Linked DNA regions of Saccharomyces cerevisiae S288C. The gene in region 1 interacts genetically with each later gene. Each region holds a gene or a part of one and is shown in the gene's direction. Other genes may lie near its edges. The genes, in order: RBD2, INP52 and BZZ1.

Evidence for each region.
Region 2: of RBD2 (region 1) and INP52, changing one suppresses a phenotype caused by changing the other (phenotypic suppression), as found in Saccharomyces cerevisiae (one study listed by BioGRID).
Region 3: of RBD2 (region 1) and BZZ1, changing one suppresses a phenotype caused by changing the other (phenotypic suppression), as found in Saccharomyces cerevisiae (one study listed by BioGRID).

The regions. Positions count from the first base shown.
Region 1 is NC_001148.4:84,009-93,331, reverse strand, and holds RBD2 (putative rhomboid protease RBD2), read left to right. Parts: upstream 1-8,034; coding exon 8,035-8,823; downstream 8,824-9,323. Other genes in the region: IQG1 (Iqg1p), read left to right, coding at 1-2,710; signal recognition particle subunit SRP68, read right to left, coding at 3,016-4,815; UDP-galactose transporter HUT1, read left to right, coding at 5,299-6,318; YPL245W (uncharacterized protein), read right to left, coding at 6,382-7,746; YPL247C (uncharacterized protein), read left to right, coding at 9,136-9,323. UniProt on the Saccharomyces cerevisiae protein: Probable rhomboid-type serine protease that catalyzes intramembrane proteolysis.
Region 2 is NC_001146.8:420,444-433,197, reverse strand, and holds INP52 (phosphatidylinositol-3-/phosphoinositide 5-phosphatase INP52), read left to right. Parts: upstream 1-8,702; coding exon 8,703-12,254; downstream 12,255-12,754. Other genes in the region: DNA-directed DNA polymerase alpha catalytic subunit POL1, read right to left, coding at 1-3,111; MET4 (Met4p), read right to left, coding at 3,445-5,463; 2-isopropylmalate synthase LEU4, read left to right, coding at 6,444-8,303; YEATS domain-containing protein YAF9, read right to left, coding at 12,420-12,754. UniProt on the Saccharomyces cerevisiae protein: Dephosphorylates a number of phosphatidylinositols (PIs) like phosphatidylinositol 4,5-bisphosphate (PtdIns(4,5)P2), but also phosphatidylinositol 3-phosphate (PtdIns(3)P), phosphatidylinositol 4-phosphate (PtdIns(4)P), and phosphatidylinositol 3,5-bisphosphate (PtdIns(3,5)P2).
Region 3 is NC_001140.6:334,861-340,484, forward strand, and holds BZZ1 (Bzz1p), read left to right. Parts: upstream 1-3,222; coding exon 3,223-5,124; downstream 5,125-5,624. Other genes in the region: YHR112C (putative cystathionine beta-lyase), read right to left, coding at 1-803; APE4 (aspartyl aminopeptidase), read left to right, coding at 1,477-2,949; ubiquitin-conjugating protein DMA1, read right to left, coding at 5,249-5,624. UniProt on the Saccharomyces cerevisiae protein: Plays a role in endocytosis and trafficking to the vacuole. Functions with type I myosins to restore polarity of the actin cytoskeleton after NaCl stress.

The DNA.
Region 1 (9,323 bases):
TGCTGTACATGATGTACATAAGGAAAATATCTCAAAATTGCAAAGCTTGATTAGAGGAATATTTACGCGTTCGTGCCTAGCATCAATAATATATTCACTTGGAAAAGAAAACTGTAATATTATTCAATTATCAGCCTGTATACGCGGAAACGCTGTAAGACATAAGGTACAGTCACTGTTTGCGCCCGAAAATAATCTCAGTGAAACTGTGCACGACCTCCAGGGTTTGGTTAGAGGTATTCTAGTCCGCTACACATTAGACTTAGTCGATGACATTGTGGAGTATAATAATTTAGCATTATTTCAAGCATTTTCTAGAGGCGCTTTAGTACGTGAAAGCTTGGACCAAAAGTCGAGTTTTTACAAGAGAAACGTAAGGTCGGTTATTATGATTCAAAGCTGGATTAGGAAAAGTCTGCAAAGATCGGCATATTTGGAACTTCTAGACTGTCCAAATCCAAGTCTTTGGGCTGTCAAAAAATTCGTTCATTTGCTCAATGGAACAGCAACCATTGAAGAGGTCCAAAACCAGTTGGAGAGTTGCCAAGCCTCTCTTGATTCCGAAAATATGAAGAAGGAACGATTACTGAAGAGCATAAGACAACAACTAAATATTAACGGAGTATTGGATAAGTTTGGACTATTAAAAGATAAAGATCATGAACTCGGTATTTCCGATTCTACGATTCCGAAGTCTAAATATCAAAAGTATGAAAAACTGTTCTATATGTTGCAAGTTGATCCCTCTTATTGGAAATTGCTGTATTTGAAAGAGCCAGAATTTGTTGCAAAGAATGTTTATATGACATTTGGAACAGTGAATCAAAGGATGAACGACAGAGAGAGATCCTATTTCACAAGGTTTGTTTGTGAAATGTTACAAAATGCGATTAATGAAGCACCGAGTATTGAAAGCTTTCTTGACAACCGATCACAATTTTGGCAAACCATTCTTCAAGATTTTTTGAGAAGAGAGTCTCCAGAATTCTTCTCTATAATAGTCCCAGTTTTGGATTACTTGTCAGATCCAGTAGTGGATTTTGAAAGTGATCCATACAAAATTTATCAAGAAATACACGGCTTTAGCTCTCCTCAGCATTGTTCGCCTGTGGATGATGCGAGTACCAAGAATAAGTTCATTGACAATTTAAGGTGCCTATGGCACGCGATTGAAATGGTCGCTGAAATTTATACCAGAAAGGTTCACACTATTCCCGTTGAAATCAGGTACCTCTGCACTAAAATCTTCTGCTACGCGGCAGATAAGAATATTGAGGAGATTGACTCTTTAAGGGCCATATCAAGTATTCTAGTGAACGTTTTTGTGTCTGAATATTTGGTCAACCGGGAATATTACGGATACAAAGACAGCAACGTTCAAAAAAATAACCAAAAAATTGACATTCTAATGAAATCCTTGGCGACTGTTTTTGAAATCAAAAATTTTGATGGCTTTTTGGATCCATTGAACCAGTACGCTAACGAAATAAAGCCTCATATCAAAGATGTCCTTTATAATGTGTTAGTAGATCCAGAGTATGAACAAGAGGGAGATAGATTGATTTATTTGGATATGGTATCGCCAAGCCCCAAATTGGAATTGTTAACTGAAAAGGTTCTGGAAATCAGTGGTAAATTTGAAGAGTATTTAAATGAATTTCCGGAAGCAGATATTTTGCATGATATTTTGGAAAAGAACTTGGACAATTCATCCTTTCCAAGATCAGGACGTGTTACCTTGGAATTGGATGCATCTGCATATCGATTCCTCGTTAGTGATGACAAGATGAGAAAAATCTACGACCAAGTTAAAAGGGCATTTGTGTACATGATGCAAATTGAGGATGTAGATACCAATTTGTATGACCTTTCAATTAGTACAATTCTACCTCAAGATGAACCAAATTTTGCAAATTTTCTGGAGCAAAATCCTAAAATCAGGGATGATCCAATGATACAGAAGCTGAAACCATTGAAATACTTCACACTCAAAAATGTTACTTTGAAAAAAATACATGAACTAGAAAGTACGGGGACTTTTTGCTCTTCTGATAATAAGTTACAAAATTTCTTAAACGATATTGCGAACACTATTAAAAATCCCAACTATGCCATTGATTATGTAACCCAGGAAATTTACATCACAAAGGAAACACTCACAAAAATTTCGGAAATGAACCACAGCTTAGATATAGAATTATCAAGGCTTAAAAAACATGTTGATCATACGATAAAAGACTTCCAGAAAGCCAAGGATTTTTCGCCGGTGCACAAAAGTAAATTTGGAAATTTTAAGAATGCAGTAAAAAAAGTTCAAGGAAGAGAACGTTCTGAATTGCAGGGAATGAAGTTTAAATGGAACACAAAGCAGTTGTATGAAAGAGGAGTGCTTAAAACCATCAGGGGTGAAAAACTAGCTGAACTGACTGTAAAAGTCTTTGGTTCGAGCGGTCCTAAATTCCCAGATATAATATTCAAAATTTCCACATCGGATGGTTCTAGATTCGGTATTCAAATGATTGACAAAAGAAAAGGGCCCGATAAACGATACTCGGATGATGTCGATTCTTTCTCATTTAAAGACTTGATAAAGACTCAAGTTGAACCAAAAATCGAGACGTGGAAATTATTCCATTCCAACGTTGTTGTTAACAATAGCCAATTACTACATTTGATTGTCAGTTTTTTCTATAAAAGGAACGCTTTGTAATAGATAACTCGGTTTTGAGCATATTGGGCAAAAGCTGTTACTAAATTTTCCCATTCTTTCTATTTTTATCTTTGTTTTTATTTTCCTTATTTTCAGCAGCAAAAATAATTTAACGTATAGTTATGTAAAGGACCCTAAACATCTTCTTTTTAGCATGTGCTGTAATTTGGCGATATCTTCAGTAGATAAAAATAAGATGTGTTAAGTAATGCACTTCGTTATTTGGCTACTATAGTTGGCAATCATCATTTGTTTAAATGGAATAATCTATATAGTACTATAAATACAGTCATACTAGAAAAATATTAACGACCAAATAGGCCCAAGAAACCACGCTTCTTTTTAGGCTCTCCTTCCGTCTGCTCATTAGAAATTGGTGTTTGAGAGATGCTCTCGGTTTCTGTGACTGAATCTTTCACTTGAGAAGCTGAGGGCTCTTGCTTATCATATGTTATGTAGTTGAAGGCCAAATCAAAAAGTGTTGGTTTACTAGGAATGGGCAGCATTTTTGGCTTGAGAGGGAATAAATTTTTCAATTGTATGTCCGTTGGCAGTATTTTTTTACTATCCAATTTTTCAATCACTGTCAAATCATATTTCCCTAAGCTGCCACCATGATTTCTTTTTTCGTATTCCGCCAAAGTAATGACACTATTACCACCGTTTTCGATTCTCTTTTGTAAGCTTCGGACAGAATTCAATGACAAAAGATTTGCTGGAAGTAAGATTTCGTCTAGAGATTCAATTTCAGATAATTTGTTTTCTAATCTTCGGTAAGCGTCCACATATAGAGCTAACGCCTCCATATATCTGCCTTTCGACTGATATAAAACACTCAGGCAGCCCGTATTCAGAAATAACTGGAAATACAGCTTGCATAAGTCTAATTGGCTTAGCAGCTCGTCATCTGAATACACACCAGGTAGCTCCATTATGTCCGATAAATATTTTGTCAAATTCTTCACAATACGTTCCATTTCTTTATATTTGGTTAACTTCGATGGTAATGAAGTATTTAATTTCAGCCATTGATTCCATAAATGAGTAAACAAATCTCTTTCACGAGATATAGAGGTCAAAAGAATATTATATTTAATGTAGGCTAAAATTATCTGATTGTTTTCAGAACTATTTTCAACCATCTCGTCTATGTCATCTTGATCGTCGTGGTTTGCGATGAAAAATTCATGACGGTCTAAAGCTTTCTCCAATTTTGATAGCCTCTGTGTATATTGAGTAATCTGAGTTGGGTGGATAGATAGACCTTGTTCCAAAAATTGAGCAACTTCAGCATCGATTATCTTGGCGTTGAAAGATCTCCAGTTTATGTTAGTGGTAACCTTTTGATCTTCAGTTGAGGTTGTAATTTTTTTCATATTGAATCCATTGTCTAATAACAATTTCACAAGCTCATCGTCCTTGTTCTCATCAGATTGAACTCTTTCCACGATAAAGTTATTTATTTCGGGCGTTGTAATTAAATTTCCCGCGTACTGCTTGAGAGAGTACTGGTATTTATTAACAATGTTATCTACAACTTCTTCAGCTAATAAGCTTAGATTCTTCAAGTGTTCCAATGCGGCGAAAACGAGGGCTAGGTTGTTCGAAATTTTGGCATTGTCCTTCCTCTTGAACCTTTTTCCATTAATTAGGTACTCTGAATGTACCAATTTAGCGAACGCTAAATATTGGGCACGAGTTATCCATTGCTGTTCATTTTGAGTGACGTTAACCAATTTATCAGCAGTCTTGCAGGCCTTCTTCAATCTTGTGGATAAAACCTTTTCTTCACTTTTCTTTAACTTTCCTCTTTGACGAGCTCTCAATTTCAAAGTTTCAGCCAGTGCCAAGTCCCTTTCAGCGTGTAGTAAAATCAAAACACCAATCAATTTAGTTTTATTATCATAATCCTCGGAGTTAATTTCGCCATACTTATTTTTACTTGAGTATTTCTTTGTATCCTTGGTGACCAAATGGCAACGGCTCCTCAAGTGTTGCAACTTTTTATTCAATTTCGCATGATACTTAGCGAAGTCTGAGTCTGTTTCTAAAAACTGTTCTGCACGATTACCATAGGTGGCAATGATTGGAGAATAGGCAACCATCTTTAGTTTCAAGCGTGGCTAGTTTTTGATTCAATATGGAAAAAAAGAAAATTACACTGTAATATAATACAATTGATCACTTTGATGCTCAAATAATTCAAATAACCTAGTCTCCAGCTGCTCGTTTATGCTAATATTGTTGGATTAACTCTAGCAAATATACTCCAAAAAAAATTTTCAGAACTTATCACGAACAACGATGTGGTAAAGACAACGAAATACTACGTAAATCATATTGGTCTGCTCGTTTATAAAAGCTTACTCCCAATCAAATCACTGCAATGGAATATGTCGTTTGGTTCGTTGTTGTAGTTTGTGGAATGCCAGAATCATCAGCTGTTTCTCTTCCAAAGCTTCCCTGAGATCGCTTCTAAAGGTTGTTTTGTAGATCCCATCGAACATGAAAAAATGACAGCAATGTAATTAGAACCAGAATTACAACGTAACAAGAAGAAGTAAACAAGGCAGTATTCGTATATTTGTATGGCGGGAAGTACATCCAGTTTGGTGATCTGTGCGATTGGTATATATGCTACTTTTTTGACGTGGGCATTAGTACAGGAGCCTTTGGCTACAAGAACCTGGCCAAACTCCATGGGAAAGTTTCAATTCCCTAATGTAATATCCCTCATACAAGCTTCTGTGGCAATGATGATGGGCTACCTGTACTTAAACTGGAAGAAGGTGGAATATCCGCCCAGAAAAATGATTAAAGATCATTGGAAACAATTGATGTTGATATCATTTACACAGAGTAGTTCAGGCCCGCTGGCTACAACTTCTTTAAAGCACGTGGATTATCTCACTTACATGTTAGCAAAGTCATGCAAGATGATCCCCGTGTTGTTGGTGCATTTGCTTTTGTATAGGACGCCCATAGCAAGCCAAAAAAAAGTTGTAGCTCTCTTGGTAAGTCTCGGTGTCACTATTTTCACTATAGGTGGCAACGATGGTAAAAAGTTGAAGAGATCCTTTAATGAGAGCGGAAATGATAACAAATTACAAGGGTTTGGACTACTTTTCTCTAGTTTATTCCTTGATGGATTGACCAACGCCACCCAAGATAAGCTACTAAAGGCCAATAAGGCCAAAGAAAAGGGAAAACAAACTTTGATAACAGGTGCACACTTGATGTTTACACTGAACCTCTTCGTGATATTGTGGAATATTTTGTATTTTATTGTGATCGACTGCAAACAATGGGATAATGCCGTTTCTGTATTGACGATGGACCCACAAGTGTGGGGCTATTTAATGCTTTATTCGTTCTGTGGCGCTATGGGACAATGCTTTATTTTCTATACTCTAGAACAATTTGGCTCTTTAGTTTTGATCATGATAACAGTCACCAGGAAAATGGTCTCGATGATTTTGAGTATTATTGTCTTCGGTAAGAGTGTACGTTTCCAGCAATGGGTGGGGATGTTTATAGTATTTGGTGGAATCACTTGGGAAGCACTCAACAAGAAGAAGGCTAATATACCGAAGGCAAAATCTGCGTAGATTAGTGAAGATCGCAACAAATAAAAGTTAATATTTATAAAATTTGTCTATACTATGTACTTCCTATTTTTTTGATGGACGAAGCAGTCTCTCTCTTAATTCAGGATCGTATGCATAAACATACAGACCACGCACGCCACGAGTTAAGAGGACATTAATGCTATTCATAATAATCTTTTGCTTAACGTCCTCTGCATTGTGAATGTTTTTCTTTTTGGTGAAACCGGCCCTATCGTCATACAGCTCTGGTCTTAGTTTGATGCAGTCATTAGCCGCATCATACCCAATGGAACGGCCCAAAATTACACCAGCATAATTCAGATCAAACCCTTGGATAGTATACACACTACCTACCTCATCAATCGTGTCGCAACGCTCACTCCAAGGCGTCACTTCACGTGGAGTATAGCGATCCCAGCGAACTTTGAAATTGTCACCACATTCAACGTAATAGTCTTTTCCGTCCAAGCGATAGGGAAAATCGTAAGTAGATAGCATCCTACATTGGCCGTATTGACGGTCTTTCTCCTTGATTGCCTCGTACATGGCGCCACAATCATCCCAAATTTTGAAATCAAAATTCTTAATTTTATCGTCAGCACAATCTGCATTGCCCTTAGATAGCACAGATTCAATTGGTGGGATTTTACCTGCGACACTAATTTGGTCAATCCAGTTCAACACGTTTTGTGGGGCAGCAACCCTAAACTGCTGTTTTAAAGTGTACCAGTCTCTGGATTTTGGTGGAATCTCGTTGTAAAAGTCCTTTAAAGTGGCACCGTTATTAGAACCTTCATCCCAATAGGAACCCATTCTTAAAGCTTGCTTATCATCGTAAACCAATACAAGCACTTTACAAAGGGACATTAAGTCTTTGAGATGGTTTTCGCCATAAAATCTTTTGAAAGCATCCTTAGAAGTGGCCAACAAATGTGCTTCATCTACAATGACTACATCGGCCATGACTTTTCTCTTCTGTAGATTGTTGATCAACGAAGTGGGCCGTTCTAGTGACGATTTAGAAATATATTTGAAACTGTCACTAATCCGGATATATAACTTTAACATCTCGGGATGGTTGACTACCAGATAATTATGTGTCCCATGTAAGATATCTTCAGAAGAAGGTGAGAACTGGGATAGTTTCTGAATTTCATTGAACAAGGAGTTTAGAATCACAGACTTGCCTGTACCTGCGTCCCCTTGGATTACAAACATGGCCGGATGTTTCCAGTCAGACTTGTACTGAGATAAGTTGGAACGCATGAACGACAAAACGCGCTCTCTCAACTTTTCTTGTTCAGCAGAGAGTGTTACGTTAGACAACTTGTTCATAGCCTGCGTGGAGACCACGGGCCTAGGTGCTCTTCTTGGTCTCTTCACGCTTCTCACATTGCGGGAAATAGCTTTTGAAGTAGGCCCATGCATTTTATATGGTTCTAATGGAAGTTAAATGCTACTACCGGGTCGCCAAGAAAGATGCGATGCCATGCTGCATACATATGCATAGATTGTTTATATATGGCGATGGCTGCTTTTATGATTTCTCGAGAAAATTTTTCACTTTTTTCGGCCCTTTGAGATCTAAAGCCTCTTTTTTTTTTTTTTTTTGAACTGCATCGATACAAGAAGAATAGGGGGATGGGAAAGGCTTAATTGGAAGCACTGAGAACAGCAATTCACTCTGGTTGTTAGGTTGTGCTATTTGGTCGTGCTATGAATTGGAAGTCGTACGTTTTTCCCGGTGGTCATCCACCAGCTGCGTTGACCACAGGCCTTGTGGTATTTCTAACCGCTATTTACCTGTTAAGTTTTATTTTTGCCCTAAGGGAAGACCTGTCGTTGGCGCCAGAGTCATTGTTCAAACTGCAAATGAGCAGGCTATCGCTTTATCCTTTAATTCACCTATCATTGCCTCATTTACTGTTCAATGTGCTAGCCATCTGGGCACCCTTGAATCTCTTCGAAGAAACGCATGGGACTGTGTACACAGGTGTTTTTTTGAACCTGAGTGCTCTATTTGCCGGAATTCTGTACTGTTTGTTGGGTAAGTTGCTATATCCAGAAGCATTAGTTGCAGGCGCCAGTGGGTGGTGTTTCACCTTATTCGCATACTATAGTTTTAAAGAATCACAGATCCGCCCTAGAACAAGGATCTTTCGCACAGACTACTCAATTCCGACATTATATACACCCCTAGTACTATTAGTCGCAATTGCCGTCGTTATACCTGGCTCCAGTTTCTGGGGTCATTTTTTCGGCTTATGTGTCGGTTACGCCATAGGCTACAAGGAATCGTGGTTTAACAAGATCACTCCACCAGGATGGATCATCACCAAAATCGAAAAAAGTTTAGACGGTTTAATTCGATTAATACCTTGGGGAATTAAGTATTACAGAGATGAGGATATCGACAGAACTAAAGATTACGAACCGTTAATGTCCACAGAAACACCATTGCCTCTCCACAATGACAACTCCGGCACTGTCCTAGGGACTGCCTAGACATTTGTATCGCTATTCTTTCTTTCACAGTTTAAGGATGTATATAAATGTAGTATATATCATTTTATATTCTAATATGCAAGAATTTTCAGTCTCTTCTTTTTCCTTAGCGTGCGTTTATGAAAAAAAATGGAATATGAATAATTACTGGGAGGAAGACCAGGGGCAAGGGGTGAACCATCTTGTCATCTGAAATCTTGTATAAATAATTTAGTAATCAGTTCTTTAGGTTTTCGAGAGTGGCATACAACCTAAAGGGTCAACAGACAACAAGAAGGAAAGGAATTATAGGAGCAAATACACGCCCTTCAAATGGATCCCTTTCACAATGGCAATAAAAGGAGCTCAATATCGTTTGGCTCATCGCAGCGGCAGCCATATAACAAGAACAATTACTTGAGTGGTACTAATGGGCCTTCCTCGGCGGCACAAGATCAAGGTAGAGGCCCATCTCCCTTTGGAATGTCTGGCAACACTACCAATGGCGGTAACAGCAAAAG
Region 2 (12,754 bases), on another chromosome or scaffold:
AACATTATCAATATCAATCTCCAATAATCTATAGCGCTCATTTACTAGCCTTTTAAATCCCAAGCCAATTTTAATTGCATCCGCATAATTATCACAACCGGTATCTATCATGACCGAATCTGTATCACCATAAACTACAAGAAGATTCATACTTTCAGCTAGTTGTCTTGTATTCATTAAAATCTCACGACCCTTATTAGTGACTAACATGGCGAGCGGCTTTGCGTAAAATCTACTGTTAACATAACCCAAACAACCATACATAGAATTGGCAGTCAATTTTAGAGCTTGTTGACGAATATCACATTGAACTCGCTTATGGGGATCAGTTTCAGTTTTCATCACCTTCTTAACTTCACGTCGACGATCCACCAGATTAGCTAATAACCTTGGTAAAACACCCTGATCCACCTCTGAAGGAGGTACGCTTGGTAACTCATCGATATCTTCCTTATTTCTATCAACGGTGGTAAAACATATATTAAATTCCTGGATAATAGATGGATACAAAGAATTAAAGTCCATGACTAAAACGTAATTCTTATGAAGACCTTTCTCAGGTTCAAAAACTAAACCACCCTGATATTTTGCCTTTTTAGAATTAACTGGTGCATCAGCATTTTCTTCATTTTGTCTTTGTTTCTGAGCTCTACTTCTATTGCCTTCTTTGTCAGGAACAATAAAACCATTTCTTGAAAATTCATGTAGTAAGATATACTCATTTCTACCAGCTCTTGTACCGCCTAGCGTTTGGGCCCATGCATTACCAGCCAAATTTGTCAACTGTTTAGTCAAGGTTAATAATTGAATTCTATAAGACACCTCAGCAGAAATCATACAATTAGTAATATTCTCTTGTAGGGCCATTGTCATACTATTTACATCATTTTGGTATTGTGGATTTTGATAATCAATATCTAACGGCTTATGCTCCTTTTCACATGTAACTTGATACATCTCTGAAAGATCCCAACTTTGACATTTGGGTGTTAATGATTGACCCATTTCATTGGCGATATCACATATCAGCCTACCAGAGCAAATGTCACTAATAAAAAAATGGTTCATATTCGAATTTCCTCTACCGAATTTTTCAGGCCAAGTCCTTCTTAAACGACGGCCAATAGAGCTGAACGTTGGAATGTTGAGATCATGCATTCTATGAGCTAAAACATCTAAGTAGACATTTTGCAAACGATGGCCTATGATAACATCTGGGTCTTCCACTTTTAACATAGCACAAAAACAAGATAGCATGGCCTTTTCGTTGTTGAACAACCTGACTCTACCGGGTAGTTTCTGTTTTGCCAGTGCAGCTAAACCTAATGGGAAACTAGTTGACTGAGGCGGCCTTACTAAAGTACACAAGTCGTCTGGTTTTATATTTTCAGGTATCGGTGAATCCAACGAGATATTTCTATATGCTGATAACGTTATCGAAACAATCTCTTGCTTATTTTCCTTGGGATTCATTAACGTCTGAATCGATAAAGATAGACATCTCAGATTAGGCATTGTCTTTGTTGTAGTAGGCGTGATATTCTGAGGCTTATCTACCGAAACTTCAACCGCACAGTGAGAAGCATTACGAATTGAATTGAAATCTGCTCCCTTTATATCTAACCAGCATGGTCCCATAATCCTATTTTGAATAACAAAACTTTCAAAAATATTGGAATTCCCACCAAAAACATGATAAAAGGTATCGCTAGATAAATCCGATGGAATGGTGTCTCGACTGGACTTCGGTGTTTGGTATGGAAGTAAGACTTTCAAATAATCACTTTCAGATGGAATGTCAGGAAGCTCAAACGAATATTTCATTTTTTGAGGTTTAGCGCGGATATTATCCAGTCCATATTTATCCATCAGTAACGGAATTATTTCCTCGTGTATATCGGTAGGTGTTTTACCCTCTCTTGGAAGGAAAAATAGCTCTCTACAGAGACCGTTGATTTGAACCATGGCTGACACACAATTATCATCCTTTAGTTTAACCTTACCAAATAAAATCAAAGTGTTGTTCACTTCACAGTAATCCAACCAAAACATTTGGAAAGTATCAGTTTCCGGATCTACCACATCTTCCTTTTTGACATTAACCGCAAGTGTAGCAACATCGGTGTTGCTCTGCAAAGATTTACTTGGAGTTAGTCCTTTAATACCGATTGGCGTTCCGGGTGCTGTGACAAACGGTGAAGTTGAAGGGTTACTTCTTGAGTCTATATTCACGCGTCTAGTTGTTGTCACACTTCTCATAGTTCTTCTTTTCAGAATAATATCTTCATCACTATCTTCATCATCTTCTTCATCAGCCAAACTTTGAGCGGATGGTGGATTTGCTAGTAACGTATCTTGAAGTACATTCTGTCTCTTTGTGGCTACTACTGGGGAATTTTCCACATCATCCAATAAATCCTGTACATCATTTGCGTAGCGCAGTTTCCTGCTTTGTAATTTTAACGGTGATGATTCGATTTCTAAATATTTATCAGTACTTGAATCTGGATCAATCTTGACTTTTTTAGAAATACCGGCATCATGACTTGACTCATCGTTTCCGTTAACTCTCTTTATTGACGATTTAAATTCACTAGTCGGCGAAGAATTTAAATTTTCCCTTAATTTGGATGGCAGTAAAATATTGGGTTTTTCTACTTCACCAGATTCAAACTCACCAAGAATGTCATCAAAATTATCGATGGGGATACTTTTTTTTTGGGATTTTTTTGCATGTGCTAGCAGTGTTGATTTGGAATGTTGAGTTCGCAGCATATCTGTAATCTGGTGGTCTTTCTCCCTTTTTATATTCTTCTTCCTTTTAGAATCCTTGCTAGCAAGGTTTCCAGTGTCTTCATCACTTGAACTGTTATCAACTTCCCTCCAATCTTCTTCGACACCACGATCGACGTAGCCTACACCATCGTCATCTACAACAAAATCGTCATGCAGCAATTCCTGGCGCTTTCTGGCCCTGTATTCTTTTTCGTCGATTTCGTCGTATATTCTGTCACCATCTGATTCGTCACCTTCGTAATCATCGATGGATGTACCATTTCGAGCGGCTTGCAGCTTTCTCAATTTTTCTAATTTTTCACTTTTAGAAGACATTTTCCACTGTTTATTTTATGCCTTGATACTATTTGGTTTCTAATAGCAGAGTGAAGACAGTTTTTTTTCTCGTGAGTCTGAATTGGTATGTGTTCGTTGTCTAGACCAAGAAGATATATATCATCCAATGAGTAAAGAATTTAATTCAGTAAAATTGGATACACGCGACGCGTTTTACTTATAGGCTAACAAAAAAATTTTAACGCGTTTGAATAGATGTGTGATGAATGAAGAATAGAGATTGCAGGCAGTACAAGAAAAAAGTTATATTTCTTTAAGAAAAATGCACGTATATATATATATATATATAATTAAACTGTATAGTCTGTTATTTTATTCTTTCTGAACCTTCTCAAAAATTTGCTTCTTTAAGCTTTCAGCTTTTTTTATTCCTTCCGTTTCACCGCTACTCAGAACTAAATTCTTTAAAAGCTTGTTTTCCGTTTCTAACGTATGTATCCGTTTTTGTAAGGATGCTGCAATTTCGGTCAGTTCATGTATCGATGATTCTAACTCCTTTTCCTTTAGTTTTTTTTTTTGATGAGATTTTTTCGACTGTATCAATAAATCTTCATCGTCGTCCCCTAACTCTTTCTTGATCAGTTGCTTCTTTTCAAAGCCGTGTAAATCTGCATCGTCATATTCATCGTCTTCATTATCAGAATACTTGCGGTCGACGGGTACTTTTTTATTTTTCAAATCTCCGGAGTGTGATCTTTTTAAACTATTTTCCTTGTGATCAGAAGAACTTGCATTTAAAGTTGGCTCGGATCGTATCTTGGCAATTTCGTCTCCACGCGTCGTACTTGACTTAATAACAGCGTTATTATGATGGACATTATCGTTTCCATTGTTACCGTCACTCTCTCTTGATATTTTATGATCGTTTCGTGAAGGTTGTCGTTGATTGTGAATATTATTACTTTTTGGATGCTTTATGCCCAGTTCCAAAATGGAGCTTAGAAAAGAAGCCTCTGCTACTACACCGTGCTCATTGAACGAAGGCGACGTTGATAAGGTAGTTGGCGCAGCAGTTTCAGCCGGAGAGGGTGGTATTAAGACACTTAAAAGTTCGTTGATGTTTTTTAGAATGGGTGCCTCTTGACTGTCATTGGTGTTGATGTTTTTATTATTATTACTGTTATTTTCCCTAATCTTTTTTTGATGATGATACGCCATTATTGCGGCTATAGCATCTATTTGATCATTGTCAAATCCCGCGCTGATCAACGAGTTATATGCGCCGTTGGGCACGTTGACCCTCGGTAATAGAGTTACTAAAACAGAGGTTGGTATAATTGAATAGTCAGGAACAGTTATATTGGGGGCTTTGTTGGAGCTGTTATTATCGCTGTTACTATCGACTTTGCTTTCCGAATGTTTTCGTTGTTGTGAAGAGGAATTTTGAGCAGAAGTGACATTGCTTAGGGGGGAGGAGCGGTTCGGTGTGTGTGTTGTCCTATGTAGTAGATTTGATAGCGCATCCACTCCATTGTCACCGGTAGTATTGTTCTCAGTTGATGTAATGTCAACATTTGTGAAGCCGCCATGGTCGATTGATGTCATATTAGTTGCGTCAGCGGGAAACTGAGAAGGGCTTCCCATAAAGTTTGGCTCAAAAGGATGGTTATTTTGCATATTGTCGCCAAAGTTGTTTGTTTCGCCGTTATTGCCATTTCTTTTGTTTTTGGACGAAAATCGAGACTTTGATTGGTCGTATTGGGAAGTTAGGAAAGTATTCCTTCTTTGAGTCAAGAAGTGAGGATTTCTTTGTCTATTATTGGTAGAAGGGTCCTCATGCAATACGTCGTGGTTGCTATGGTCGTCATTACCATTATTGCTGTTGTTATTGTTATTGCTCGGCTTATCCTCGTCTGGGAAGATGAAAGAATCGTCGGCAAACGCACTCAACTCAATGGCTAGTTGTTCATCCAAGTCAAAAGGATTTGCATTTATGCTGCTGAAAGTGTCCGCGCCATTATTGTTTGCATTATTATGGGTGGTATTCACATTCCAATCCACATTAGAGAACTCGTTATCCAGAGATGGTATGAAGTTATCCACGTAGGCCAACTGTTCTAAGAGTATTTCTGGCGTGACAGCGTGGTCATATAGGTTAGTGTTGCCCCTATTGGTAACGTCACCTATTAGGGGGCGCCTATTCTCGCTGCTGGTCACCAGAGAAGATGACGATGAGGCTGTTGCCACAAACTGGTCCAACGAGTTCGTGCTCCCCATGCCATTATTATTAGCACCGTTGTTGCTGCTAGGGTGTGTTGCGGTATCTTTGCCAAAGAGATTTATGAATTCCGTGCTGTATGAGTCGCCTTCGTGGGACTGCTCCTGCTTCATCGTTCACAGTGGAAAAAAAGGAATAAAAGTGCTTATCAGAAGTGCGCTTTATTGACGAGAGTCTGTCTAAACAGTTGACGGACAGGCAAGAAGACCTTCAGGAGTTGACTAATATATGAAATGATGTGCGTTCAAACAGACCGTTTCACCTGGCACAGATGCATGTAAACAAGGATATACGTTATTACATGCTACGGCTACATCTAGATTGGGTGGATTTAAGTTGAACGATGAAAGAAAATTCAAGCAATATGCTTGTGTGGCCCGATGACACACAATAGCATGTGCGACGAGACACCAGCTGTGTGCCGGGTGCTACCCGCGCACGTGATTAAAAGGAAACGGGGAAAAAGCCATAGCGGAAAAGTGCTCGAAGAAGCCTCGATAAATGAAGTAAAAAATTCGATATTTTTCAACGACAATAAGACGTATATAAGCATCCGTATGTCCAGCGATTGAGCTTATGCTTCTGTTCTCCGCTTTGACACTTCCACTCGGCTGTTATGACCAGCCCCAGGATTGCTACCGGAGCGGGACCGGCTCTGAGACAGTAGTAGGTTAGTCATCGCTCTACCGACGCGCAGGAAAAGAAAGAAGGCCTCAGAAAAGCTGAGTTGAATGTGTGTCATACTTGGCTGAAAAAATTGTACAGTAACGGCCAGTCACTGTCATGCGCGTGCATGTATGTGCGTGCATGTATGTGTGTATGTATATTTATATATATATAAGCACGGGCGCATGGGAGATGTGCGCTATGGAGTCGCGTAGGTTCGATGTTTTCTCCTCTTGGGTCAGCCTCTCTCCTCTTTCAACGTTCTTTCCATAATCATTTATTGGTTATTTTTCAACTTGACCAGTAAAAAGAAACTTACGTGTAAGTGACTCAGTTCTTTCAAAGGGTATTTTTTGAAGAAAAAAAAGGATTCTCACACTAGAAGTTTACTGTAGACTTTTTCCTTACAAAAAGACAAGGAACAATCATGGTTAAAGAGAGTATTATTGCTCTTGCTGAGCATGCGGCCTCCAGAGCCTCAAGAGTTATTCCTCCAGTGAAGCTAGCCTATAAAAATATGCTTAAGGACCCTTCCTCCAAGTACAAGCCATTTAACGCTCCAAAGCTATCTAATAGAAAGTGGCCGGATAACCGGATCACGAGGGCTCCTCGTTGGTTATCAACAGATTTGAGAGATGGTAACCAATCTCTGCCGGATCCCATGTCAGTGGAACAAAAGAAAGAATACTTTCACAAGCTGGTCAATATTGGGTTCAAAGAAATCGAGGTTTCCTTCCCCTCTGCATCTCAAACAGATTTCGACTTCACTAGATATGCTGTAGAAAACGCCCCAGACGATGTTAGTATTCAATGTCTTGTCCAATCTAGAGAACACTTGATTAAGAGAACGGTGGAAGCATTAACAGGTGCTAAAAAGGCTACTATACATACTTACTTGGCAACAAGTGATATGTTCCGTGAAATTGTTTTTAATATGTCTAGAGAGGAAGCTATTTCCAAGGCAGTAGAGGCCACCAAACTAGTTAGGAAACTAACTAAGGATGACCCTTCCCAACAAGCCACTCGTTGGTCCTATGAGTTTTCCCCCGAATGTTTCAGTGATACTCCAGGTGAATTTGCTGTAGAAATTTGCGAAGCTGTTAAGAAGGCTTGGGAACCTACCGAGGAAAATCCAATCATTTTCAACTTACCTGCTACCGTAGAAGTTGCCTCTCCAAATGTTTATGCTGATCAGATTGAATACTTCGCTACCCATATTACTGAGCGTGAGAAGGTTTGCATCTCTACACATTGTCACAATGACCGTGGTTGCGGTGTCGCCGCCACAGAGTTAGGTATGCTTGCAGGTGCCGACCGTGTAGAAGGATGTCTCTTTGGTAATGGTGAACGTACAGGTAATGTGGACTTGGTTACTGTTGCTATGAATATGTATACCCAAGGTGTTTCTCCTAATTTGGATTTCTCTGACTTGACCTCTGTCCTAGATGTGGTTGAGCGTTGTAATAAGATCCCAGTATCGCAAAGAGCACCATACGGCGGTGACTTGGTCGTTTGTGCCTTTTCCGGTTCTCACCAAGACGCCATTAAGAAGGGTTTCAACTTACAAAACAAGAAGCGTGCTCAAGGTGAAACTCAATGGAGAATCCCATACTTGCCATTGGATCCAAAGGACATTGGCCGTGATTACGAAGCTGTCATCAGAGTCAACTCTCAGTCTGGTAAAGGTGGTGCCGCTTGGGTTATTTTGAGATCTTTGGGTTTGGATCTACCAAGAAACATGCAAATCGAATTTTCTAGCGCCGTTCAAGACCATGCTGACTCCTTGGGTAGAGAACTAAAATCAGATGAGATTTCCAAGTTATTCAAAGAGGCTTACAACTACAATGACGAACAGTACCAAGCTATTAGTTTAGTCAATTATAATGTTGAAAAATTCGGCACTGAACGTAGAGTGTTCACTGGTCAAGTCAAAGTAGGCGACCAGATCGTCGATATTGAAGGTACAGGTAATGGTCCAATCTCTTCTTTGGTCGACGCCCTATCAAACTTGTTGAACGTGAGATTTGCCGTAGCAAACTACACAGAGCATTCTCTAGGTTCTGGTTCTTCTACGCAAGCTGCTTCTTACATCCATCTATCGTATAGGCGTAATGCCGACAACGAAAAGGCCTACAAATGGGGTGTAGGTGTCTCCGAAGATGTCGGTGATTCTTCAGTGAGAGCCATCTTTGCCACCATTAACAATATTATCCATTCTGGTGATGTGTCCATTCCATCTTTGGCCGAGGTCGAAGGTAAGAATGCTGCGGCATCTGGCTCTGCATAAGAACTTTTCTGTATTTCAGGACTTATTCGCTTCTATTTATTTCTATACTTATTTATTTACTTCCTTTCCTTTTTTTTTAACCATATAATTACTAGAAGCACGGATGTCTAAATTAGAATTACGTTTTAATATCTTTTTTTCCATATCTAGGGCTAGTGCTTGTTTTTCTTTTTTTAGTATATTCTTGAACCAAATACGTGTGGGGTGACCCGAAACTTGTTTGGCGGTTAGTGACGAAATTGAAACAAACCTGGAGTTATTAAGAGAGATTTAACTGGAAAACTAGGCATAAAGGACAATAAGTACTCGCTTCATATAGTCTCAACATATTTTTGTTCGCAGAATTGGTGACAAAGGCCACGCAAAGGCAGCAGAATCAAAAACAAATACTCAGTAGCTATGAAAATACTCCTATCGAAACAGCAAACTAGAAAGATAGCAATAGTTTCAGAAACACATGGACTGGTATTTAGGCCAATAAACAGTAAGAACTCTCGCAGATCTACATGTGCCGTGGAATTGGTTCCGAAAGCTGAATTAAATGGTAATGGTTTCAGAAGACTATCTAACCATGAAATATACGGTTTTATTGGTCTCATAGAAATTGAAGGCCTTATGTTCATAGCAACCATAACAGGTAAATCTAAGGTGGCCCAGCCGATCCCAAACAAAACGGTTAACAAAATATATGCTGTGGATTTTTTTTGCTTAAATAATTCTAAATGGGATTTCATGGACATCGATTCATCCGGTTATCCGATTGTTACTAATGATGGAGATTTTGCAATAAGCTCGCCTCCTAGTATTTCCACACATTCTTCTAGATCATCGCTACGTTCTTCTTCCTCTAGGAGTTTGAATGCTCAAGAACAAGCTCCCAAGCATCCATGTCATGAACTAAGAAAGCTATTATCAAATGGATCTTTTTATTACAGCACCGATTTTGATTTAACTTGTACATTGCAGAAACGTGGATTCACGGAACACTCTTTGAGTTTTGATGATTTTGACCGGGAGTTTATGTGGAACTCGTTTCTTATGGACGAAATCATCACATACAGAGACAGACTAGATGTAACGGCCAAAGAACTATTGGATCAACGAGGATTCCTCACGACCGTAATCCGAGGGTTTGCTGAAACAATTTTTAGCTATATTAATAGGTTGAAAGTAGGACTTACCATTATTTCCAGGCAAAGTTGGAAAAGAGCAGGCACAAGGTTTAATGCACGTGGTATAGATGATGATGGCCATGTCGCAAATTTTGTTGAAACAGAAATGATTATGTACTCTTCTCAGTATTGTTATGCTTTCACGCAGATAAGAGGAAGCCTTCCAATTTTTTGGGAGCAGGATACATCTTTGATTAGTCCAAAGATTCAAATTACCAGATCTGTTGAAGCAACACAGCCCACGTTTGATGAACATTTTATAAGACTATTTAAGAAGTATGGGCCAGTTCATATAATCAACCTGCTGTCTACTAAATCTTCAGAAATTCAATTATCGAGGCGATACAAGGAACAGTTGAAAAATTCTGAGAAAATGAAAATCGGTAGAGATGTGTTCCTAACAAGCTTTGATTTCCATAGAGAAACTTCGCAAGATGGGTTTGCAGCTGCAAGTAGGATTATCCCTAAAATAAGAAACACAATTTTGGACGCCGGTTACTTTTCATACGATGTAAAAGAAGGGCGATTAATATCCGAACAAGACGGTGTCTTTAGAACCAATTGCTTGGATTGTTTAGATAGAACAAATTTGATCCAACAGACGATTTCACTGGCCGTTTTCAAACTATTTTTGGAAGACTTCCGATTGGTAAAACCCAGTAGTTTCATCGACGATAATGAATTTGTGCAAAAGGTGAATGCTTTATGGGCCGACAACGGAGATCAGATATCACAAATTTACACTGGGACAAATGCTCTGAAATCGTCCTATTCAAGGAAAGGTAAAATGTCTTTTTCTGGCGCCCTTTCTGATGCGACGAAGTCCGTTAGTAGAATGTACATCAACAATTTTGTAGATAAAGGAAAACAGCAAAATATTGACACACTTTTGGGCAAACTACCGCACCAGCAAGTTGTTGAACTTTATGATCCAATCTGCGAATACGTCAATGAAAGGCTGTTAGAGTCAGAGGAAAAATTCACCACTCATTCTAACATAAATTTGTTTGTCGGTACATTCAATGTTAACGGAAACTCTCGAAGAGCAGATTTGTCAAAATGGTTATTTCCAATCGGCGATAAATTCAAACCTGATGTCGTTGTGTTAGGGTTGCAGGAAGTTATAGAGTTGACCGCAGGGTCTATCTTGAATGCAGATTATACGAAAAGTTCTTTTTGGGAAACTATGGTTACTGACTGTTTGAATCAATACGAAGAAAAATATCTTTTACTTAGAGTGGAACAGATGTCCTCTCTTTTGATACTATTTTTTGCAAGATCAGATAGAGCCTATAACATAAAAGAGGTAGGTGGGTCTACCAAAAAGACTGGGTTTGGTGGTATTACTGGAAACAAAGGTGCAGTAGCCATTAGATTCGATTATGGGGCAACTTCATTCTGTTTCGTTAATACACATTTATCAGCAGGTGCGAGTAACATTGACGAACGTCGCAATGACTACAACAATATCTACAGGAACATAACCTTTCCAAGATCAAAGACAATTCCACACCATGATTCGTTGTTTTGGTTGGGTGACCTTAACTACAGGATAACTTTGACAAATGATGAAGTTAGAAGAGAATTAAGGGCTCAAAAGGATGGCTATATTGATAGATTGCTTCAATATGATCAGTTGACTCAAGAAATAAATGAAGGAGTGGTATTTCAGGGCTTTAAAGAACCGACCCTCCAATTCCGTCCGACCTATAAATATGATTATGGCACAGATAATTATGATACTTCTGAAAAGGCGAGAACTCCGTCTTGGACTGATAGAATCATATATAAAGGTGAAAACCTGCATCCATTGGCATATTCGGACGCACCTTTAAAAATAAGCGATCATAAACCAGTTTATGCTGCATATAGGGCAAATGTGAAATTTGTTGACGAAAAAGAGAAGCTTAACCTAGTTGAGAAGCTGTATGCAGAATATAAGAATACGCATCCCGAAGCACTAACTACAGGTCCTGACGAACTTTCTCATGCAAGAATGGAAAAACAAAAGGAAAGTATACCCTTAGATGCAACCGTTCAATCAGCGGGCATAAAACTAATTGACCTAGATGATACTTCCTCGTGCGTTTCGCCTCTACTTTCTGGTCCCAGTCCCCAACCGTCTGTTGTTGGCCCTGGAGGACTCAGTAACGTATCACCCGATAAAAGTAAGCTCAATGTGCTTCCTCCGCCTCCTCCTACCTCGAGGCACAATAAGGAACCATCTTCTAAACTTCTTTCCCCTACCAAAGAGATTTCCATTGTCAGCGTATCGCCGCGTAAAGGTGAGAGCAATCTTCCTGCCTTAGAGAGACACAGTACACCCAAACCACTGCCGCCAGTGCCCGCTTTATCTTTATCTAAGCCAGTCTCTTTACAGAAAAGTTCTTCAGAATTACAGCATGCTAAAGAGACCATAGATAATGGGAAAATTGTTCCTCGACCTTGTCCTCCTATTAGAAGGAAGAGCAGTACTGCCCCGGACGAAATCTCTACATCTACCAAAAATTCAGGTGTGTCCACTACAGAAGATCCTGAGCCAGCAAAGGCCTCCACAAAACCTGAGAAGCCACCAGTTGTCAAAAAACCGCATTATTTAAGTGTTGCTGCTAACAAGCTTAACACCTCTCAAGAACACTCAATAAAAGTTTCCCCGTCGAATTCAAAATCTGAAGAGGAACTCCCTTGCAAGAAAAAGTCTAAACCAAAAGTTCCTGCGAAGAACCCTGAACTAGAGAAGCTAAGCGTTCATCCATTGAAGCCTTGCGACCCCAATTAAATTGTGTTACTAAAATTACGCATTTATAGAATATGTATCATAACTGTTGTTTAGATGTTTATATGACTCTGCACACATTTCGGTTTTGTGAGCGCCGACCTTTCAAACCATGATCTGTATTACTATGGCTGTTATGAAAATACCGTTGTTCCGGGTGCAGTGATCCTAACTTCCGTTAATGGCTTCTTGTTTTACCAAGTTTTCCAGTTTCTGCTTCAATTCGTCAATTTCCTTGTCAACCTTTTCTATGCCGATCTCTATTCTGTCAATTTCTTCCTGTTCTAATTGCTTGGAGTATACACAATCATCAGTTTTGTTTGAAGGTAACAAATTTCCTGGTCGGCTCATTAAAATTTTGAAAAACTCTTCATTTGGCTCATTGAATACAATTTCATCAAAATACACAGAACTAACTTCTGCATCTTTACTATTATGGTCTGTTGTATTCTGCTCATTTCCATTGTCGGAATTCGGTACAGGATTAGCATAAGGATGAAGTC
Region 3 (5,624 bases), on another chromosome or scaffold:
TCTGACAAAAATCTAACTAATTTCGTAGCATTTTCTGATTGTTTGGTTATTCTCATTTCGTAGGTTCTCAGGGATCGCAACAACATGAAACTTTCCAAATTTGCCACGTTTGTACCCAAGTAGATTCTGTCGTCTTTTAGTTGTCGGGAAGTTGCTTCCTCTTTGACTACAAGGACGCCACTTAACAAGTCAGAATGACCACCAAAGTACTTAGTAGCAGAGTATAGGACAATATCGGCTCCGAAATTCCATGCGTATTGCAATGGAGGAGATGCGAATGTGGAATCCACTATAAGCAGGGCGCCTTTTGCATGAGCTCTGCGGGCCAAACTCTCGATATCAGAAGAGGTACCATATGGGTTTACAGGAGATTCCAGATGGACAATGTCACCTTCAGAAGCACATTTTTCAATATCTTCCAAGGGGTGTTGCTCAATGCCGTAATTACGGGTCAATATGTTAGCAATTGCTCGAACACCATGGTAGCTCTGTCCGATAAAGATCTTCTTAGGGTTGTAATGTACCATTGCCGCATAGAACGCAGCTAACCCTGAAGAATAAATGACAGCATAACCATCGAGGATCTCTGAGAAGATACTCTCTAATCTGGTGCTATTTGGATGCGCTAGCCGTGAATATACGGGCTTCTTCTCCATAAAGTCCAAGTTTTCACGCTCTGTCCATGGAATTAGGTCGTCATCGTCGTAACGGAAGGTTGTAGAGACATTAATTGGGGGCGCCACGTCAGTAACCCTGTTATCTTTATCATCGCCATGAATCAAAGCTGTTGACAAGTCCACCATCTTACGTACTCTTTTCGTGCAATCTTTCCTTTATAGCATGTACTACAACATTTGAAGAGATGGAGGGATTGCAACGATCTATTGTTGCGCAATATGCTTATATATCGCGTGTTGCATAAACCCATCAAGTGATCGCACTCTGAATTAAACACCGCAAAAAAATAGAAACCACAGTTTCACCATTTGACAAGAACTCACAAGATATCCTTGAGGTCTATCAGTAAGTGGTTAATCCCGTACCAAAGCGTATGTGAAGGACTTCAGAAACAGTTATTTCACGTACTACAATTATTACAACTGGCCCTCTTTCCCTTATATATACTGTAAATATTGCGACTGACATGGAGACCACATAATCACACGTGATAAATAGTCCCGTTCAACTTACGTATATAATGTGATTCAGTGTTCCGCCAAGGAGTAAACTCCTTTAGTTTAAGGTCTGCTTATTTTTGCAACAGAAGCCTGCCTTGGCTTTCGAGATACTAGTTTCTGGCTACGGTTTTCTATTCCTTATCATTTTAGCCTTATCATACTTGCTGAAAAGTTGCAGATATCTCCACGCTCTTAAATGAAAGAAAAAAGGGCGTTTTCCTCCTGTATGAATGAAAGAAAAAATTCATGTTATGTGAGCAAGTAGGTAAAAAGAAAGAATAAAAGGTTCAGCTTTTCTATGTTCAGGATACAACTGAGAACTATGTCCAGCAAAACATGCAAGAGTGATTACCCAAAGGAGTTTGTCAGTTTCTTAAATAGCTCACACTCTCCTTACCATACAGTTCATAACATCAAAAAGCATCTGGTGTCAAATGGCTTCAAAGAGTTGAGCGAACGTGACTCGTGGGCTGGCCACGTCGCACAAAAAGGAAAGTACTTTGTGACAAGAAATGGCTCTTCCATTATTGCGTTTGCTGTTGGTGGAAAGTGGGAGCCTGGTAATCCAATTGCCATTACGGGTGCTCACACCGACTCCCCCGCATTAAGGATTAAGCCTATTTCTAAAAGAGTCAGTGAGAAGTATTTACAAGTGGGCGTGGAAACTTATGGTGGCGCTATTTGGCATTCATGGTTTGATAAGGATTTGGGCGTTGCCGGAAGAGTTTTCGTAAAGGATGCGAAAACTGGCAAATCCATTGCTAGATTGGTGGATTTGAATAGACCTCTGTTAAAGATTCCTACTTTGGCTATTCATCTGGACAGAGACGTAAATCAAAAATTCGAGTTTAATAGAGAAACTCAACTGTTGCCGATTGGTGGTCTGCAAGAAGACAAAACTGAAGCGAAAACTGAAAAGGAAATTAATAACGGTGAGTTTACCTCCATAAAAACGATAGTACAGAGGCATCACGCAGAACTTTTGGGGCTAATAGCCAAAGAACTCGCCATTGATACAATTGAAGACATTGAAGACTTCGAATTGATCCTTTATGATCATAATGCATCCACTCTAGGTGGGTTCAACGATGAGTTTGTCTTCTCTGGTCGATTGGATAATTTGACATCTTGTTTCACATCAATGCACGGTTTAACGTTGGCGGCTGACACAGAAATTGACCGAGAATCAGGCATTAGATTGATGGCATGCTTTGATCATGAGGAGATTGGCTCATCCTCCGCCCAAGGGGCAGATTCTAACTTCTTGCCTAATATATTGGAAAGGTTGTCCATCCTGAAGGGGGACGGTTCTGATCAAACTAAACCTTTGTTTCACTCGGCAATATTGGAAACTTCCGCTAAGTCGTTTTTCCTTTCATCTGATGTTGCTCATGCAGTTCATCCAAACTATGCAAACAAATACGAAAGCCAACACAAACCCTTATTGGGTGGTGGTCCCGTAATCAAGATTAACGCGAATCAACGTTACATGACCAATTCACCAGGGTTGGTCTTGGTGAAAAGACTAGCAGAGGCTGCTAAAGTCCCTTTGCAATTGTTTGTCGTAGCTAACGACTCACCATGCGGTTCTACCATCGGCCCCATTTTGGCCTCAAAGACAGGTATTAGAACTCTAGACTTGGGTAATCCTGTGTTGAGTATGCATTCGATTAGAGAGACCGGTGGCTCTGCAGACCTGGAGTTCCAAATCAAGTTATTTAAGGAATTTTTTGAACGCTACACTTCCATAGAATCTGAAATTGTTGTCTAAACTGCAATTGTTAGATGATTCATAATCCGGTATATTTATTGCCCTCTTTTGTATTTTACAAATAGTAAATATATATAATATCTTGTGATCTACATAAGCTTTCGCGGGGTCTTCAGAAAAATAAAAAGTTTTTAAAAGAATATACGCTTAGCAAAGGAATAGACAGATTTAGTTTGTACGCAAATAGTTTTTGAAGAAGGTAGCAGATTGATCAATTTTGTATGAGCGGAAATCTATCCTTAAACGCCAACTACTACATTACTTGCAATAAAAATGAGTGCAGATTTATCGATTGGTAATGAAATTAAAGATTCATTTAAGGAAACCCATAAATGGGTCCAAAATAACTTAAAATGGTTGAAGGACATTGAGCAATTTTATCGGGAAAGGGCTAAGTTAGAAAAAGACTACAGCGAGAGATTATCTCGCTTATCAGCAGAGTACTTTAATAAGAAGTCTTCGACCTCAGTTCCTATCTCGGTAGGTGACACACCTACTACCACGCCAGGGTCCATTGAAGCTGCAGGTGTGGTTGCATGGAATGAAATTCTATCTCAGACTGATATGATTTCCAAGGATCATGATCAGTTATCAACCGACTTTGAAAATCATGTAGCAAATCAATTGAGTGGATTATTCACTAAACTTGATATGACTTTGAGCAAGATAAATGGATTTAACAATGACATGGTTAATAAAAAGGATAACATTTACCACGAACTGGAAAAAGCGAAGAAGGACTATGATGAAGCCTGTTCCACTATGGAAATGGCAAGAAATAGGTATACCAAGGCATCTAATGATAGAAATAAAAAGAAGTTGGATGAAAAAGAAATGGAGATGAACAAGTGTAAAAATGAATATTTAATCAAGATCAACCAGGCAAATAGAACTAAGGATAAATACTATTTTCAAGATGTTCCTGAAGTGCTAGATCTTCTACAAGACGTAAATGAGGCAAAGACCCTTTTCTTAAATGATCTGTGGTTGAAGGCGGCTTCTGTCGAGAACGATCTGGGTGCAAATGTCAGCAAAAGACTCCAGGCGGCAAATTCTGTTGTCAAGCAGAATAAACCCTCTTTAAACACGGCCATCTTTATCAAGCACAATCTAAAGAATTGGAAAGAACCACAAGACTTTGTCTATAAGCCATCTCCAGTATGGCATGATGATGAAAAATTTGCTGTTCCCTCGTCGTTGGAAGTTGAAGACTTGAGAATAAAACTGGCAAAAGCAGAAAATGATTACAATTCATTGCAAGATAAAACTCAAAATGAGTTATCCAAACTGTCTACTTTGAACAAGATAAAGCACGAAATGAAAACTAATGAAGATAATATCAATGCCACTAAGTTTTATGATACACTAAAGGAATACTTAAATGTCGTTTCACCCTTTACCTCACACGAAACATTAAAATTGCAAGCCGAAGTTCAAATCGAAAGTATTCAGAATAATGTTCCTGAAGAATACGATTTATCCACAGACAATATTGATCTTTCCAAAACAAAGAAGAAATCCGGGATATTCAGTAAGTTCAAACACAACATCCTGAACGTCGACTCGAAGCCTTCGAGTGGAGGGAGCACTGGTAATGGCAACGGAGGACCCTTGCATATAACAAGTCTCTTCAACACATCAAGAAGAACTAGGCTAGGCTCTGCCCCTAACAACGCTGGTGAAGATTCAGATAATAATTCTATACGCACCACTAGTACCAACAATACAAAAAAGACCACACAAAATTCCAGTGATGACGGCAAGAATAAAGTGTTGTATGCATACGTACAAAAGGATGATGACGAAATCACCATTACGCCAGGAGACAAAATCTCTTTGGTTGCACGCGATACGGGTTCTGGATGGACTAAGATAAATAACGACACCACTGGGGAAACCGGCCTTGTACCCACCACATATATTCGCATATCTAGCGCGGCTACAGTTAAAGCAAATGATAGAGGCCCTGCACCAGAAGTACCACCACCAAGAAGGAGTACACTACCTGTTAGGACGATGGAGGCCATATATGCCTACGAAGCACAGGGAGATGATGAGATTTCAATTGATCCGGGGGACATAATTACTGTTATCAGAGGCGATGACGGTAGCGGGTGGACATATGGTGAATGTGACGGATTGAAAGGTCTATTTCCTACAAGTTACTGTAAATGAACGAAGGAATGAACTGAAACTATTAAATATTTTCCCTGGCCGCCACTTTTTTGAGAGGTATGACGACTCTATGTTATATATATATATATATATATATATATATATAGCACAAAATTTCATGTGATCAATCTACTAGGCGAACACCTAAATTGTTATTTATTTCCATGTCTATATCCATTTCAATGTCTGGCTCATCTTCGTCCTCGTTTTCGAATTCGGATTCAGATTCGGATTCCAAGGTAGTCTCCAAATCACAGTTTGTCCTACAGTTCGGACACATGAATTGAGGATAATTCATAATAACCAATCTTCTTACACAATGAAAATGCCAACTATGGGCACATGGTGATATAAAAATGGCTTGGCAAGGTTTTATTTTGTTTAGACAAATGGAACAGTCTTCTTGTTCTAAACCAGTAGTTAGTTTCTGTAGATTTTTTATTCGGCTCAAGGCTTCTTTATTAAATGCATTGGCCTTTAATTTCCAAGACTTGTTCAAT